Linked DNA regions of Lytechinus pictus. The protein of the gene in region 1 interacts with the protein of each later gene in a pairwise test. Links are inferred from orthologs where the notes say so. Each region holds a gene or a part of one and is shown on either strand. Other genes may lie near its edges. The genes, in order: mothers against decapentaplegic homolog 4-like and LIM domain transcription factor LMO4.1-like.

Region 1 (8,172 bases):
TGTGAGTGATTTTGGCCAGGAATCAGGGTAATCACTGCTGAAAATTTGTCTGGCTTCATGACATCGGCATCATGGTGATATAATTCTGTGTATAATAAAAAGATTTTCAGCCATGGTCCATACCAGTGCTCCTAAATAATTTAATCGCCTGCCTGAGTCCTGACCAGTTTTAGAAATCTGAAGAAAAAATCTGCTGGAATTGTGCAAAAACATTATTTCTAAAATAAAGACTTTTTAATTTTAATAGTATACGCCAAAATGCATGATTCTAAACTTATATCAGATCTGTATCTGTCATCTGACCTGAATGCATCGTCAGAACAAGTACAGTTTCCAAACATGCTTACCTTGACTTTTGACTGGATCAAACAGCGTAACCTGCAACATGCATCGGGAGCAAGTGAATGGGACCGTGCAGCTTGGAGTTTTTCAATAGTTAGTAGAGCAACACAACGAAGACTGTCGAGTGGACAAAATCGATCTTTCCAGTTCACAATTCAATAAAAACCGGGCAAAATAACACAGTTCTGGTTCCCTTATAGTCTGAAGTTGTCGAAAACAGAATTCGGATATCACAATACATGAAGAAAACAGTAAATTCGAAGAAAAATAAAGACCAGGAAGGTGAATCAGCTATCAGTGTACTGCTGGCTTGCACAGAGCTAGAGAGCGGCTGAGTGAGTCGATCATCATGTGACGTCATTATTCTCGACTGTATTTGATCGCGTTATTGTCTGTCTGGGGGCGGCTGGGGGGCTGAGAAGGGTCTCTTATAATTTCATTTCTTGCATTTCCACGACATCAATAAGACTTTTTAGTGACATATTTGTGTATAAAAAGACAAGACCTTTCCATTCATATATAATTTGTCTATAATCATCACTTTCATGAATTTTCTTTGGATGTATACTTTAAGAAGAAAACATAAAAGGAAATAAACAAATAAGAAAATGCTGAAATAACTTTCCTGCACATGTATGATAAACCTTGTCCAAAGATTAAAAAAGTTCTGAGAATGGGTCATTGTATATTTGTTTTACATCCCTTCCACTCATACCATTTTACAGCGAAATGATTTTTAATAAGTCGATATAGAACAATCGTTGAGAAGTTGAGAAAATAATAAGTATTGCCATATGGATCGTCTCTTAAGCGAGCGCACCTGGTTAGTGCAGCTCGCCGAAAGTTCCCGTGGCATGCAGTGGAGAGTACCGTTTGGCTGAGCAGCGCTCTGCTCGCATCGCGCCGCACAGCTCGCGAATCGCGAGTTTGGGGGGGGGGGTCAAAAAACCTATAGTTCACTTATTCCCTAGGGAAAAAATGGACTATGCAAGGAAAATGAACTATTTCATGGCAAACGTTTTTCGTAGTAAAACTATTCTTTTTCTCCTTGTGTACACTCTACAACAATCTTAAGTAAGGGATATAATATCAACTAAAAAAACTTAAAGTTATGATTTTCAGTTTTCATATTGACAGTATGAAAATCCCGATTGCATAAACCTGCATAATCGTTATAAAAGTATTGGAAAAAAAGAAGAATTAATTTTCAGGTCTCCAGTTGAAGGTCAAAGCTCATTCTAAAGGGGGGGTCAATAAACTGATATACAATGTACAGTGCGTCCCAGAAAAAGGAAACTGGGATTTCCTAGTCTTTTTCATTCAAAGGCAAATGAATTATTTGCCTTTTTATTTCATTGAAATAAAAAGGCAAATAAAAAAGGGCAAATAGTGTATGAGTGTAATGAATTATTTGCCTTTTTATTTCACTTACATAACCATGTATCATCCAATTATTCCTCTTTAATTTGATACCTAATTTGAGATGAACACTTCATGCATTAATGAGCAATACGAGTTTGAAATTATAATGTCAAAATCAGGTTGCACAGAAAAATTTGACAAGATTGGTTTGTGTTACGACGACCGTGCATCGTTATAAAAGTACTTGTACTTTCATTTTCTGCAAAAATCTAAAAATCGATATTTTGACCAAAATTGACTGATACGACGGTTCGGATGACCGCCGACAAATTGTTTGCATATGTATATCGGGACATTCGACACACTGCCAAATATGGCACTCCTCAATATCCGACATCTTGGCATGCTGTATTACGTGCTCACGCTTTTCAAAGTCTAGGCATACATGTAGGTCTATGTAGGCGTGTGGAGCTGAGAATCGTGCCCCATATCGAGAGAGGATAGAGGTTCTGTTGGTATTTAATTCTTATTATTGATCACTGATTCCTATATGAATATGATTTTTTTAGCTCATCCGGCCCGAAGGGCAAGTTGAGCTTATGCCGTGGCTTCCGTCGTCCATCCATAAATTTCAAAATGCTTCTTCTTCGCCATGTCGAGTCCGATTTCAATTCTGTTTGCTTTATATGATAGCACTAGGTGGGGGATTCAAAACTTCTACACAGAATTTTGAAACTCATTAAATATGCTAATTTATGCGCATTTTTCAAAATTCACAAAAAATGCTTCTTCTTTATTTGTTGACTGATTTTGAATTTTTTGCTTCCATCTGGTAGAGCTTCATGAGGTTCACCAAATTTCTAGACAGAATTCTGAAATTTTGAGTAGAACAATTTTTATGCTAATTTATGCAAAATTGATTTATGCATATTTTTAAAAATTCACATAATAAAATGCTTGTTCTTCTGAATTTGTTGACCGATTTTGATTTTTATTCTTCCAACTGGTAGAGCTTCATGAGGTTCACCAAACTTCTACACAGAATTTTGAAATTTTGAGTAGAAAATTATTTATGCTAATTCATGCGAAAATTCATAGATCACAGAAAATGCCTCTTTATTTGTTGACTGAATTTCAAAATGCTTCTTCTTCGTCATTTCAAGTCTGTAATTCTGTTTGCTTTTTATGATAGCATTTAACATTGGGGGATTCAAAACTTCTTCACAGAATTTTGAAACTCATTAAATATATGCTAATTTATATCATTTTTCAAAATTCACAAAAAATGCTTCTTCTTTATTTGTTGACCGATTTTGATTTTTTTGCTTCCATCTGATAGAGCTTTATGAGGTTCACCAAAATTCTACACAAAATTTTGAAATTTTGAGTAGAACAATTTCTATGCTAATTTATGCGAAATTAATTTATGCATATTTTAAAAAATTCACATGAAATGCTTCTTCTTCTGAATTTGTTGACCGATTTTGATTTTTTTCTTCCATCTGGTAGAGCGTCATGAGGTTCACCAAACTTCTACACAGAATTTTGAACTTTTGACTAGAAAATTTTTTAAGCTCATTTATGCATTACTTTAAAAATTCATATAAAATGCTTCTTCTTTATTTGTTGACCAATTTTGATTTTATTTTCCTTCCATCTGGTAGAGCTGCATGGGGAACACCAAACTTGTACACAAAATTTTGAAATTTTGTCTAGAAAATTATTAATGCTAATTTATGCAAAATTTATTCATAAATCACAAATGATTTTTCCCCTTCATTTGTTGATCAGTTTCAATTTTGTTTGCTTTATATGATAGCTCTAGGTGGTGATACAAAATTTCAACACAGAATTTTGAAACTCATTAATATTCTAATTTATTCAATATATTTTCAAAACTCACAAAAAATACTTAATTATTTGTTGATTGATTTTGATTATTTTTGTTCCATCTGAGAGCTACATGAGGTTCATCAAGGTTCTACACAAGAGTTAAGAAATTTTGACTATGCTTATTTATATGAAGTTTATTCATAGATCACAAAAAATGCTTCTATGTCATTTTTTATCAATTTCAATTCTATATCCTCAATTTAGGTCACCAATATCATGCACTACAGTGTCAACTGGGCTGAAATTCAAATTGTGTTAAATTTCGTTGTCATATCCCCACTTTCCTTTTCTTATGTAATACATGAAATCATAATTGTTTCATTTTTTCATACATGTGTAAATTAATGATGTGTCTCCATTATGATGAAATAAGTTGGGGCAATAAATAACTAATAATAATCAGTTGTCAATCCAATTGTTTTTGTTCTTGGTAGAAAAAATTTGAATAAACCTAATTTCAATTATAATAAAATACATAAGAACAAGTGGGGATATGACATCATCAGCCCACCTAATGAATATTCATGAAGACATGCCTAAAACTGTTTCACCGGAATAATGCAAATCTTTAAAATTCAATAACTTTGTTATTCGTTATCAAATTTTGATCAAATTTTCAGCATTTTGCTCTGTGAATTTTACTCTATTTATTGAGATATAAACATCTCCAGCCTGGACCATCCCTTTTAGCCTAAATTGCTATGTCAGGAAAAGTTATTATACATAATCTGAATACACATAAAATTTGAAAGCTGTGCCAAAGTGTGAAATGAAATATGGCAAAAACTAGTCCAAAGCTGTAGATTTTATAATCAATTCAAGCTTGCAAGAAGATATACCATGTGATCAAAAAATTCTAGCAGGAAATCAAATGTGTAATCTGAAAAGCAAAAATATTACCATGTTTCTCTGTGTACAAACCCATGGAATCACAATGCTTTTAACACATCATGATGTCACAGATAAACACGATAAACCCTTTTTTTTAAAGCCCAAAGGTACTCAGCGGAGAAGTAATGAAAATATATAAACTCTTCATTGCTGTGTTTTACAGTTTATAAGCTTTCGATTGATTGACCTTTCAATTTCACTTTAGGTCCAATCGGGGTCTGGAAGCAATGTTTTCAAAGTGAAAAATTTACTTCTAGTTTACAGGACATTACATTGTTGGGCATGATCATTAATTGGGCTCCATTTCTTTTATTCCTTCTTTCTTACAAATATGCAGGAACTCCTTGGACAGATGCCTTAGTTCATGGTGTAGCAGAAAATACACCAAATATCATTTTGTAGTTGCAGAAGTGGCACATTTCAGACCGGTTTCGAGGTGACCATTAGTGTCATCTACCCCACTGTCAAGCTGGCGTACCCAATGGGAACAATGGCGGGGGCCCCAACGAGTGCCGATGCCTGTCTTAGTATAGTACACAGCCTCATGTGCCATCGGCAGGGAGGAGAATCAGAATCTTTTGCAAAGAGGGCCATTGAAAGTTTGGTGAAAAAACTGAAAGAGAAGAGAGATGAGCTGGACAGCCTTATCACAGCCATTACCACAAACGGTGCACATCCCAGTAAATGTGTCACGATACAAAGGACATTGGATGGCAGGTTACAGGTAATTTAACTCCATTTTACTAGCTAGCAACAAGCGAAAAAGTTGGATTTGTCTTTGTAAAAGACTCACCCGACTTTTAAAAAGGGGGAAGAGGTGCGTGTTATTCACCGGCAAATATGGTACCTCAAATTCCATCAAAAGCTAATATGCTTTCGACAAAGTTTATTAATTCCTTTTAATTAAAGAATCATTAACTTTACACCAAGCCCGTGTCTTATTTTCTTGTTTTGATGATCATGGGAAAAAATAAAGATTTGTACATTTTGGGAGCACAATTTTGATATATTTCTTTCATTTATTTATTTTTCTTTTTAAAGAATTAGCAAAACACCATATTGAAAATGTTCCTCAATTGGGCAGGGCCTGTTGATTGTTTTAAATTGATGGAAACCTATATTATTCAGGACACTTTTCTAGTTTTTGTGACGAGGAGAAAGGTTTGGAATGGGGCCTGACATACTGGTTGTCAAACAGTCATTTGGAATGGAATTAGTGTTGCAATGTTAACTTTGTATGAACTGAGTTAAACCTTACAAACAATGGGAAGGAGAGGGGTGCTTTTTCCCCTGTCCTAATTGCAGGCACGTGATGGTTCTTATTTCTGAGAACCTTTGTATTATAGATGGCGTGAGGTGAAAATGTTTTCTTATTACCTCAATGTTTATCATCAAGGGAGGGTATTTCAAAGGTAACTGGTTTGCATTTCCCCCCAGGAAGGAACAGTTCTCCTTTCCAGGTTGTATTAGAAAGTGAAACCTGTCTCGGAGAGAGCTCACCTGGATATGGCATATTAGACGGTTTCCTCTCAGGAGTGTGCATGTCACACACTGCACTGCCAATATGTTTCCCTTTCTATCAACAAACTAACCTATTTCTTACCAACTCTCTTTTGCCCCCCTTGCCAGCCAGGTCATTTAAAACGAAAATAATTGGAAAATGTGAGGTTTTTCTTGACAAGGTAATAGTTCTGGTAAATAAGTAATAAATACTAATGTTCGTACTTTTGAAAGGTTTCAAAGAGGAAATCTTAAAACATACAAAAAATTATATTGATACAACAAGAAAAGATCAACAATCACCAAATGTTTGTATTTGAATGTTAGGACTAACCGGGTGTGATGGGGGGGGGGGGGGGTAGCCAGACAGGAACCCTTTTTTGTGGGGGGGCTGAGAAAATATTTTTCTCTGCCTGTCAGAAAAATCTGAATCAATTAACCTACTCTTTGATGTGACAAAGCTTAGCTTTCCTCAAGTTGGGAAGAGATTTCTGTGCCACCTCTTTGATGAAATCCAGGACACACCATGACCAAAAGCTTTAGGATACAGAAAGTTACCAGAACAAAAAATCATTTTTTATTTTATTCTAGAGCAATTAAACAGTCATTCTTAAATAAAAACATTGTACCATCTCATAGTGATTACTTTAAAATCAATAATTTGAATGGAATACATTTACTAGTCCATTACATGATTTACATCAGGTGTATCGTCACTTGCAGTGGATAGTGCTAACAAATCACCAGCGGTGATCATTACATGTAACATGTTGTTGAGTTGTTATCACTGCATGCGATTGAATTCAACTTGTTTTCTCTCTTTGTCAGAAGAATTGTGAATTTGTGAGGTAGAATACATCATTGTGCGCGATGCATATTATCCATAGTGATGTATTATTTGTCACATTACCGAGGTTTCGTTTCTCTGCGACTGCTACGTAATCCTAGTTCACTGGAAGTGGTGACACCGCTCGTTCAGTATCACGTTCGTACAATGATGAGAACAGTTTCGATTTCAGTCGACGTACCCGTACCAGGCCACAGCATAGACTGGCGTGATAGCGAGCGGGCCAAGAGCCGATGCTCAGCCGGAGGATTAGGCATAGCATCACGCCACGAACCAGTTGGGTGACTTGAGGGTGCAGCATTTGCACTCTTGCTCTTCGCATGCTTAAAAACGTTCTTACGTATGTGAGAACATGTACCAATATGAATCCCACAGTGTAGTTAACAATTTAAAATGATATCAAGAGAATGGATCGTTCAATTTCCACAGTTTTATGAAAATACATTGAAAATATGCATTTTGAGGAGAGATGCATGAATAGCGGATCTCGACGAAGTTAATCCCTGCAACCCTGGTAGAGTCATGCTGCCATGCCTGCTGAGCGCTGCATGTCGCAAGATGAGCTCTGGAAGCTGGGTGCGCAAACGTGGCACAAAAGCCCCAAAACACAGTTGTTTGGATATAGAACATGAATTGTACCTTCTGGATATGTACACTCCCCTCCAAAAGTTTGGGAACACCTGCCTTCAGTGTGTGTTTTTCGAACTTTGGTAGACTTTACTGAAGTTAAGCCTCATAGTACAGCTGTATTTTTGTTTTAAAGTGAAGGCTATACACAAGTGTACATTTTATCATTGATTCAAACAAATTCAAAGCTCTTAAGGGACGTGCAGCTGCCAAAGAGGGCAGGCTACCAGTCAAGATGGCATTCTCTAAAAAATGCCTACTTCTTTTAACATTGTTCTGTTTGGGGTTCTTTTCTGAAATTCTTCCCAATATTTTGTGAATGTTACAGCAGATGTCCTCAGAATTTGTTGCTCAGTATTGTTCATAAGACAGTTAATTTATGGAAATCTGCATCTTTATCCTGGAAAACATCTGAACTTGACAAATGCCTAATCCTTGTTTAAAGAAAATACATGGAAGTGGAGTAGACATCAGTGCAATTTGAAATTCATGAATTCAAAAGTTATTCAGAGTTTTTTTACACTTATTCCAGTGCACCTTCACTCATTTTGCCTATTCGGTTTTCTTAGTCAGAAGTCAGTCACAAAATTAAAATGGCTATGACAAGACAGCTTTCTTTGGAAACATGTCAGTCAATTGTAGTTTTGAGGAAAGAAGGCTACTCCATGCAAGAAATAGCCAGGAAACTCAAGATCAGTATCCATGCGGTT
Region 2 (7,452 bases), on another chromosome or scaffold:
ATTGCTAGCAGAACAAGAAATGGAAATAGAAATGAAATGATCGAAAATGAAGAAAAGGAAAAGAAAACATTTTTAACAAATCTTCATCAGTTCATCGAAGCTCTTCATACACTCCTCCCTTCCGATCAATATCAAAGTCGATTCTTAATTCATGAATATAGATATCCTCTTTTATGAGATGTCATTTATCTTACTCGAAACACTTATTAAAGGCAACATGCTGATATTAATGTCTCCCGTCACAACGAACTACCTCGATAATAAATTATGGTTTGTATTGAAATCCGATAGATAGAATAAATATTTCTTTTGTCGATGTTGGCCCATGTATGAAATTCAAGGATAAAACAAAGAGAAAACGGTTTCGAGAAATTCCAAAGACTCGAGTCGATATCGCAGTCCTATGAAGAGTTCGAGTTTGCTCGTTACCCCCAGAAAACGTATTCAGCCCGGCATTTCCAAAATTGATAGAAGGACCTGAAATTACACAAGATAAATCGAACCCGTCACGCCACTTTATTTTTCTCTTGATTAGTTCCCACTTCTTTGTTTCAAGATCGTCTGCATCAAAGCAATCGAGGTATATTGTATCGTGCTCTGAATTTCAAACCCTCTTTGATTCGTTTACCTTTTCATAAAAACAATGAAGGAGGTATACTCTCCCCAAAGGTGTGAGCAGCACGCAACGTGAGTTGGTTTGGCGAGTTTTCCACACACAAAAAATAAGTATAAAAGTAATTAGTTTGACTAAAGATTCGGCCAATTCACGCCTTGCGAAGCTGGTCGAAAAAAAGATATAGGACTATTTCTGTTTTTGTTCATCTGAGCATGATACCTGGAGATATCAGTATTACTGTGAAAGTGTAATCACGATTTTTCCTGGACTGCACAACTTGAAATAGTGTGGCAATTTAAATTCAAGGTGAATGAGCGCTCGTCTTGAAGATATATTGGAATAATATATAGATTGGGGGGGGGGGGGGCATTACGAATTTCCGAATGATTATTGTGTCGGAAATATGAAAAACAAATAGTATATCCGGGTTTTTATTATGCTATATGCGTGATTGCGGCAGTCTACTGATCGATCTCTAGCATCGACACAACGATATTTGGACTGGCAAAAGTTCACATCTTATTAACTGTGGTGAGCAAAAAAAACCCCGATAACACGCAAGAATTAATATGAAGCGCAAATTTCATTCCCAAGTTAATTACATCTTTGTCGGTAATATCATCTTGTTGCTACAGGTAGATAAACCAGTCGACATGGTTCGTGCAGTTATATCTTGCAATTACAACAACAATAACACAAAAGATCCAATATCTATAATGACAGTTTTTGAATATCATATATTCTTTTTCAAACGCGGAAATGATAATTTGTCAGGTCTCAATTTATAGTTCAGCCCGGGTATTTCCCGCAAAAGGGTCCGTTTTGTGTTTGCAACGTTGCAAGCCACTTGCCCCTTTTTTAAGTACTAATTTAGTTTAGAATGTCATGCTCTAGAAGTAAGCATGCTTAAAGCGCACAGGAATGGATTTGGACGGGAGAGAGGAGGAGAGAGATTGATGAGTAGATCCTGACGTAGATTGAACTGGGTAGAGTGCATTACGATTTCATTTAATAAATCAACCAAGCGAATTCATTAGAAGTAATGGAGTTTTGATGCCTGATTAAGGCAAATACAATATTATGACGGCCATAGTCTCTTGTCTACCTCGAAAATCACGCTGTCCTGTCGTGAATGCTTTCAAACTTCAATCCCGATTCCCCCCAATAATATCGAAGTGAATGTATCTCACGCGTACCCCTTCGAAATTAATCTTTCCAAAATATCTCATAAAAATACGATCAATATTTTCATTACATTCAGAATTCTACGCACACTCGAGTCGAGCATTATCTTGCCATTATTGAAGAGGGAGAGAGAGGGGAATGGGGAATGTTCGCCGAACATCCTTTAAACGAAAGGCTTAGATCATGTTGAGATATTAATTTTTGAACGGGAAGGAGAAGCATGCATGTAGTCCTTCATCCAGGTAGCTCATTATCTGAGTAATACCCGAGTGATTGAGAAATAAATTAACTCTAAAGCCCTTACGATGTATGGTGGTCGTAAAAAGCAAAGCTCTTCAAATTACTTTCTGATTTGATATGTGTGCCATGCGAGATCGAACTTGTATCCAATGCTGTTACATTTTCTCATTATGACTGGCTATATGTTTTCATATCAACGTGTCCCGGGCAATTATTTTGATTGAGGTTCAGTTGGTTTATAAACTACAAGTGGGATTACTTGGATGAAATTGGTGTAATAATGAGGGGAGGCTGCATCTTGTCTTGCCAAGACGGTATCTTTGCAAGAGAGAAGGAAAGAAAGAAAGGGGTATCTTAATACAGTGTATTTGAGAATTGCACACAGCGCAAGTATCACTTTAATGTATTGGCTGTCATGCGCGTGTGTCGCAAAAAAATTTCATTAGATTGTCACACAGGTATATGTTTCAAATCTCATTATCTTTGTTTTCTCGGTTTCAGCGCAGCAGCATGACGGGATGATGAAACTAATCTTGCCATCTCTCGCCATCTCTCCCCCGAGCCCGCACTTTAACGTGTTATTAATCAAGCCTTATGAATATTCCAATGAGATGGTGATGAATATTGATAGGATGCGCTGGATTTGTTACTTCGGTCCCCGTCACATCTCGCGCCCTTCAGTGGAAGGAGCAGGAGTTGGCACGTTAAATTGGCTGTCTATCTCACTATCTTACACCGTTGATCCCTCCCAAGGGGTTGTCCAACTGTTACCAATATTCTATCGTATATCACCACCATCAAACAGACCTTTGCCTTATTATATCTTCATAAATATTCGGTTAGTTTCAGCTCACCCGACTTCCTCGATCTTGAATTGACTGTATCACCTAGCAGTGGAATCGCCCCTAGAGGCTAGTTGTAGAATTTCTTTAGTGGTTTCCTTTGAAGCGCATTTGAACTTTGCCAGTCACGTCATACCTGAAGAATAGAAGCTTGTCATCGTTTGAAGCAACGGCACATCGTAAAACATATAGAATTCCATCTAAAACGGAGCAAATCATTCTTGTTTTTGTAAGGATATATTCAATAACATTAGTAACTACTTCATGGTTGTGTTGAATGGGATGAAAAGAGGGTAATATAACATGACCTTTCAGGGAACGAATTACTTGTTCCCCCTGATTCTCGCTTTACCAATCGAAGCGCGTCCTGTGTGTGGATGGCTATAAGCATTTCTTCTCCTTTTACCACTGATTTGTTTCCCCGGCAAGCTACAAAATATTCCATTGAGCAGACTTCTCTAAATGCCCCATTTACCCCGACTCAATTATGAAATTAGACGCCTTTAGAAACTCAGTTGAAAATCGATATCTCTCAGACTGTTGTCTGAAGACAAATAAGCCCGACACAGCAGACATGAGAAATGATAAGCACACATTAGATCTTATATGTCGGTATAATTCAAAAGGAGAGTCATTGGAGCTCCATAATACGATCCGAAAACGCTAAAATGCTTTGGTGAGTTTTATGTTACTTCCTTTTATGCACAAACTGCCTCTATGAAATATGGAATAAACCCATTTCTCACGTGAATAACGTCATATACTAAAAGCATTAGGCGAAATGCATTATTACGTTCTAGCTTTTAGCGCGCGCAGGTAGTATATTTGATTACATTTACTCTTTTCTTTCACAGAGCTGACGTGCCTCTGTACCTTTCATTCGAGTGAAGTCGCATTAGCAGAGTAAAGTGTTCTTTTACAAAGCAAGCAGACCTGAAAATGGAAAAGGTTGCTTTTTCCCACCCACCCCCCCCCCATTTTTTTTTACGCTAGAGGTCAGACACTTGTGCGTGGTATTATCTTTGTATTCGAATCAATGTTGTCCAAACGAGTCGTCAGTGATATAGGAAATATAGTTTCTTTGGTTTTATTGAATGACGTCCGTTTCCGATTGTTTAAACAAAGTGTGAACCATGTTCAAGGAAACGTTTTGAAGGTATCGACAGTGGTGTGAACTGTTGAAAAAGAAAACATCTATCTTGTAATTCGATAAAATCGATTGTCATTGCAAACCACCATTAGTACTACCATGGACCCTATTTTTATTGTTTCTATCTGATATCTTGGAATGAAAATTCAATCGTCCATATTCATTCGCTATGTAACCAACAACTCACATGTTCGTTCACAGATATCCGAAGGGGGGTCTAACCCAAATTGTAGTAAGAAATCGTCCGTAAACTGTTTTTTTTAGATGCAAAAATACATTTTTAAGATATCCCTGCAACCTTTAGCCACCGAATCATCAACTCTTTACATGTTTTATTTATCACTTTTATTCATTGCAGCTAACAATATGGACAGCACCAAAGAAAACAGACCTGCACCAACCACGAACAGCAACAACAACAACAGCAACAACAACAACAACAACAATGCTGTACGATGTTGCGCGGGGTGTGGCGGCAAGATCATCGATCGCATATTGCTGCATGCCGTAGATCGATTCTGGCACACGGGATGTCTAAAGTGCTCTTGCTGCAATGTTCAACTTGGCGAGATCGGACACTCGTGTTTCTCCAAGGCAGGAATGATTCTCTGCAAGAAAGATTACCTCAGGTTAGTGAGTACCTTTCACGTCAGGTTATCGATAAGATGGAGGCGACACGGGTGACGGATGGCTCGGGAGTTTCGAGTGGGTGGGTCATTTTGGGGCTGGGTAAGACTTAGAGTTGGGTATTTTTCTAGAAGATTGATTTTAAAACGTTGGCAGTCGGTCGCATTTCTGATGCGATGTTTTATGCGCTCTACGCGCATCGGGTAAAGTCTTGAAAAGTAAAATTAGTATACGCGCATGGTTACTCATGGCCGACCATTTCCATTTCTCATTCCTTGATTTTTTTTCCGAGATCACATTCAATTTGTGGACTCAAACGAGTCGAATCAATTCTTGACTCTTAAAAATAGAATTTCGTTAAAATCTAACCCCCCCCCAAAAAAAAAAAAAATAGTAAACAGTGAAAACGGAAGAGTTATGATGAATGAATAATAACAAAACAACCACAACAAATTATATAGAGTAGTAGTGAAGATCTGGAAATGTTATTGTGGACGCAATAATACTGGACTGCAGGGATTTGTCTAAGACTAAGATTTAAGTACTGACCTCTGAAACACCTGTACTAGGATTTCATTTGTATAGATTGTGCCGTTGAGTGCTGCAGGGAGATAAAGGGTATTGTCTGTCTATTTGTGAGTCATTACCAAGTTCCTCCTTTGGAATCGCAAACGTTCTTAGCAGAAAATAAGTACTTAGTGTTCAGGTCAGGCTGCATTTTCGTTCTCTGGAGTCGGGAACGGTGCCCTGGCATCACAATCCATCTCGGTGGCTTCACCTTGTTGTGATATGCCAAGATTATTATGGAGTCGTGTCAGAACCTCTTGACGAACGGGAGCCAGTGGAGGCATTATCCCTCTTCAGACTGAATGGTTTCACTTCCTGTCCTGGCCCGAGCATCCATCGAATCTCGTCTCTGCCTCGCCTTCTCCTTTTCTTCTCCCGTCATCTTCAGGAGCGAATCAAACTCTCATCCCGTGATTAGTCTTTGCATCGTGACCCCATTCATGAGAGGGATCGCATCAATGATCATTCATCATCTCCCCCCCCCCCCCTCCACATCACAGTCGTGACAGTGGCAATACATTAGGTATTTTATTGCAATTGTTATTATCACGCAATGAATGCATTCCGCATAATTATAGTCTAGTCTTGTAGACGCGTGTGGTTTGGGTTTAGTAGCACGACTAGTACTGTTCATATTGTATTTTTTGATCGATTGATTGATTGATTGGCAATATATGGCTTCTTATTCACATCAAGTATAAAGGCATAATATGGTAAGGCGATAATTGATATACTACTGTATAAAGAGGCAACAGATGAACACAAAGGACAATTTAAAAGATTTAAAATGACGAATAATAGCGGTTATTGGATGTGAGGACCAGCAAAGACAAAAAACCAATCAAGGCTATTCACCTTAGTGAATTTGAAATGAATCTACATACACAAAATAGTGTAAACCCGTGAATAGAAAAATATTCAGGCAAAAAAAGGCCTATTGAATAAACGATTTATTAATAAGAAACGACTTAAATTGGTTGGCAAGTTTCTGTTCGGATTTAAAAATATTCCTTATCAAATGTCATCTGTAATCGATACGATATGAAGGAAATCATAGAAAGTTGTCGCCATTCAATTGAGGTAACTTTAAGCACATTTATACTGGTAGGTATATATTTCATGGCAGTTTTTTTTAACATCTTCAAAGTGAGACATGACGAATAGACGAATTCGGCATTCAATAATGAAAGATAAAAATACAATGCTTTTATATTTGGGGCTCACAAAAATATTCGTTAATTGAATTCTTTGAGGAATGTATTATTCAGAATATATTTAAAGCCAACATTAATGTATACTGTAACGCTGAAAATGAAGAAGTAGCACAAGGGTTAACTAGTAGAGAGCTGCATATTCCATTGTTTTGATGCAACCTTGTTTTGAGTGTGTGCGTGAGGTTGGCATATCTAACATTATCTCCGGATATTATAGGATATTATTAGTATTGACGCCTATGTCCGATTCTAACCAACGATATCAGTGGGCAGACATACGAAAGTTCACGGCATCCAATGTCCAAGGATCCCCTTTAATTTCCGAAATTTGAGGAAGAAGAGATAAATGGTTGATTGTTCGAGTAGTGATCCCTGCAGACAGGTTAAACGACAAGCTATTACTTACTTTGTCCGAATCCGTGAATGAAAGTCTGTTTATGGGGATTGTATACGCAGGCATTTTCAATAACCATAACTCGAGAAGTATTAGAGATTTAGGGGATATGCCATTGCTAAAACTCAGCAGAAATCGGGGAATGAATGGTTTATTCATGGATATTTGAGGCATTCATTTTGATGGTAAATGTTCATTCATCATATTTAAAGCAATTTAAGGGGATTGCTTTGCCTCGAAATGGATCTAGTGTTTGAATGTGGGTGTGGGTGCTGTTATAATGGAGACCTTTTTGGGCGGGAAAAGAAAAGAGTGTCGGGTGCATCCAATAGCAGGGCAGATGGCAAGTGCGTAAAGAGACAAGACGGTATCTCCGAATGTATGACTTGTCTGTGAAATGTCTTACCCTTAATCTAATGCACTCTTTAATCAATCAAGTTACAGTGGATCCTGTTGGGGGACTAATTAATTAAGTCGCTTCTCCTCTGATCAGCCTCTAAGACGTCCATACGTTCTTCTCCCAAGAAGCGTCGGGAAGATCAAATGAAACATCTTCTTGGCATGTTGGAATTAGCGGTGCTGGTGGTAGGGCTCGTTCATGTATCCATAATGCACAG

The links.
Region 2: the proteins of mothers against decapentaplegic homolog 4-like (region 1) and LIM domain transcription factor LMO4.1-like interact in binary tests that used the Homo sapiens proteins (3 or more experiments, as listed by UniProt). The link is inferred for Lytechinus pictus from reciprocal best matches to the Homo sapiens genes SMAD4 and LMO4.

The regions. Positions count from the first base shown.
Region 1 is NC_087247.1:25,801,543-25,809,714, forward strand, and holds the start of mothers against decapentaplegic homolog 4-like, read left to right. Parts: upstream 1-4,823; 5' UTR 4,824-4,969; coding exon 4,970-5,212; intron 5,213-8,172. UniProt on the Homo sapiens protein: In muscle physiology, plays a central role in the balance between atrophy and hypertrophy. When recruited by MSTN, promotes atrophy response via phosphorylated SMAD2/4.
Region 2 is NC_087259.1:10,299,130-10,306,581, reverse strand, and holds the start of LIM domain transcription factor LMO4.1-like, read left to right. Parts: upstream 1-4,399; coding exon 4,400-4,662; intron 4,663-7,452. UniProt on the Homo sapiens protein: Transcription cofactor. Plays a role in establishing motor neuron identity, in concert with MNX1, acting, at least in part, to disrupt LDB1-LHX3 complexes thereby negatively modulating interneuron genes in motor neurons.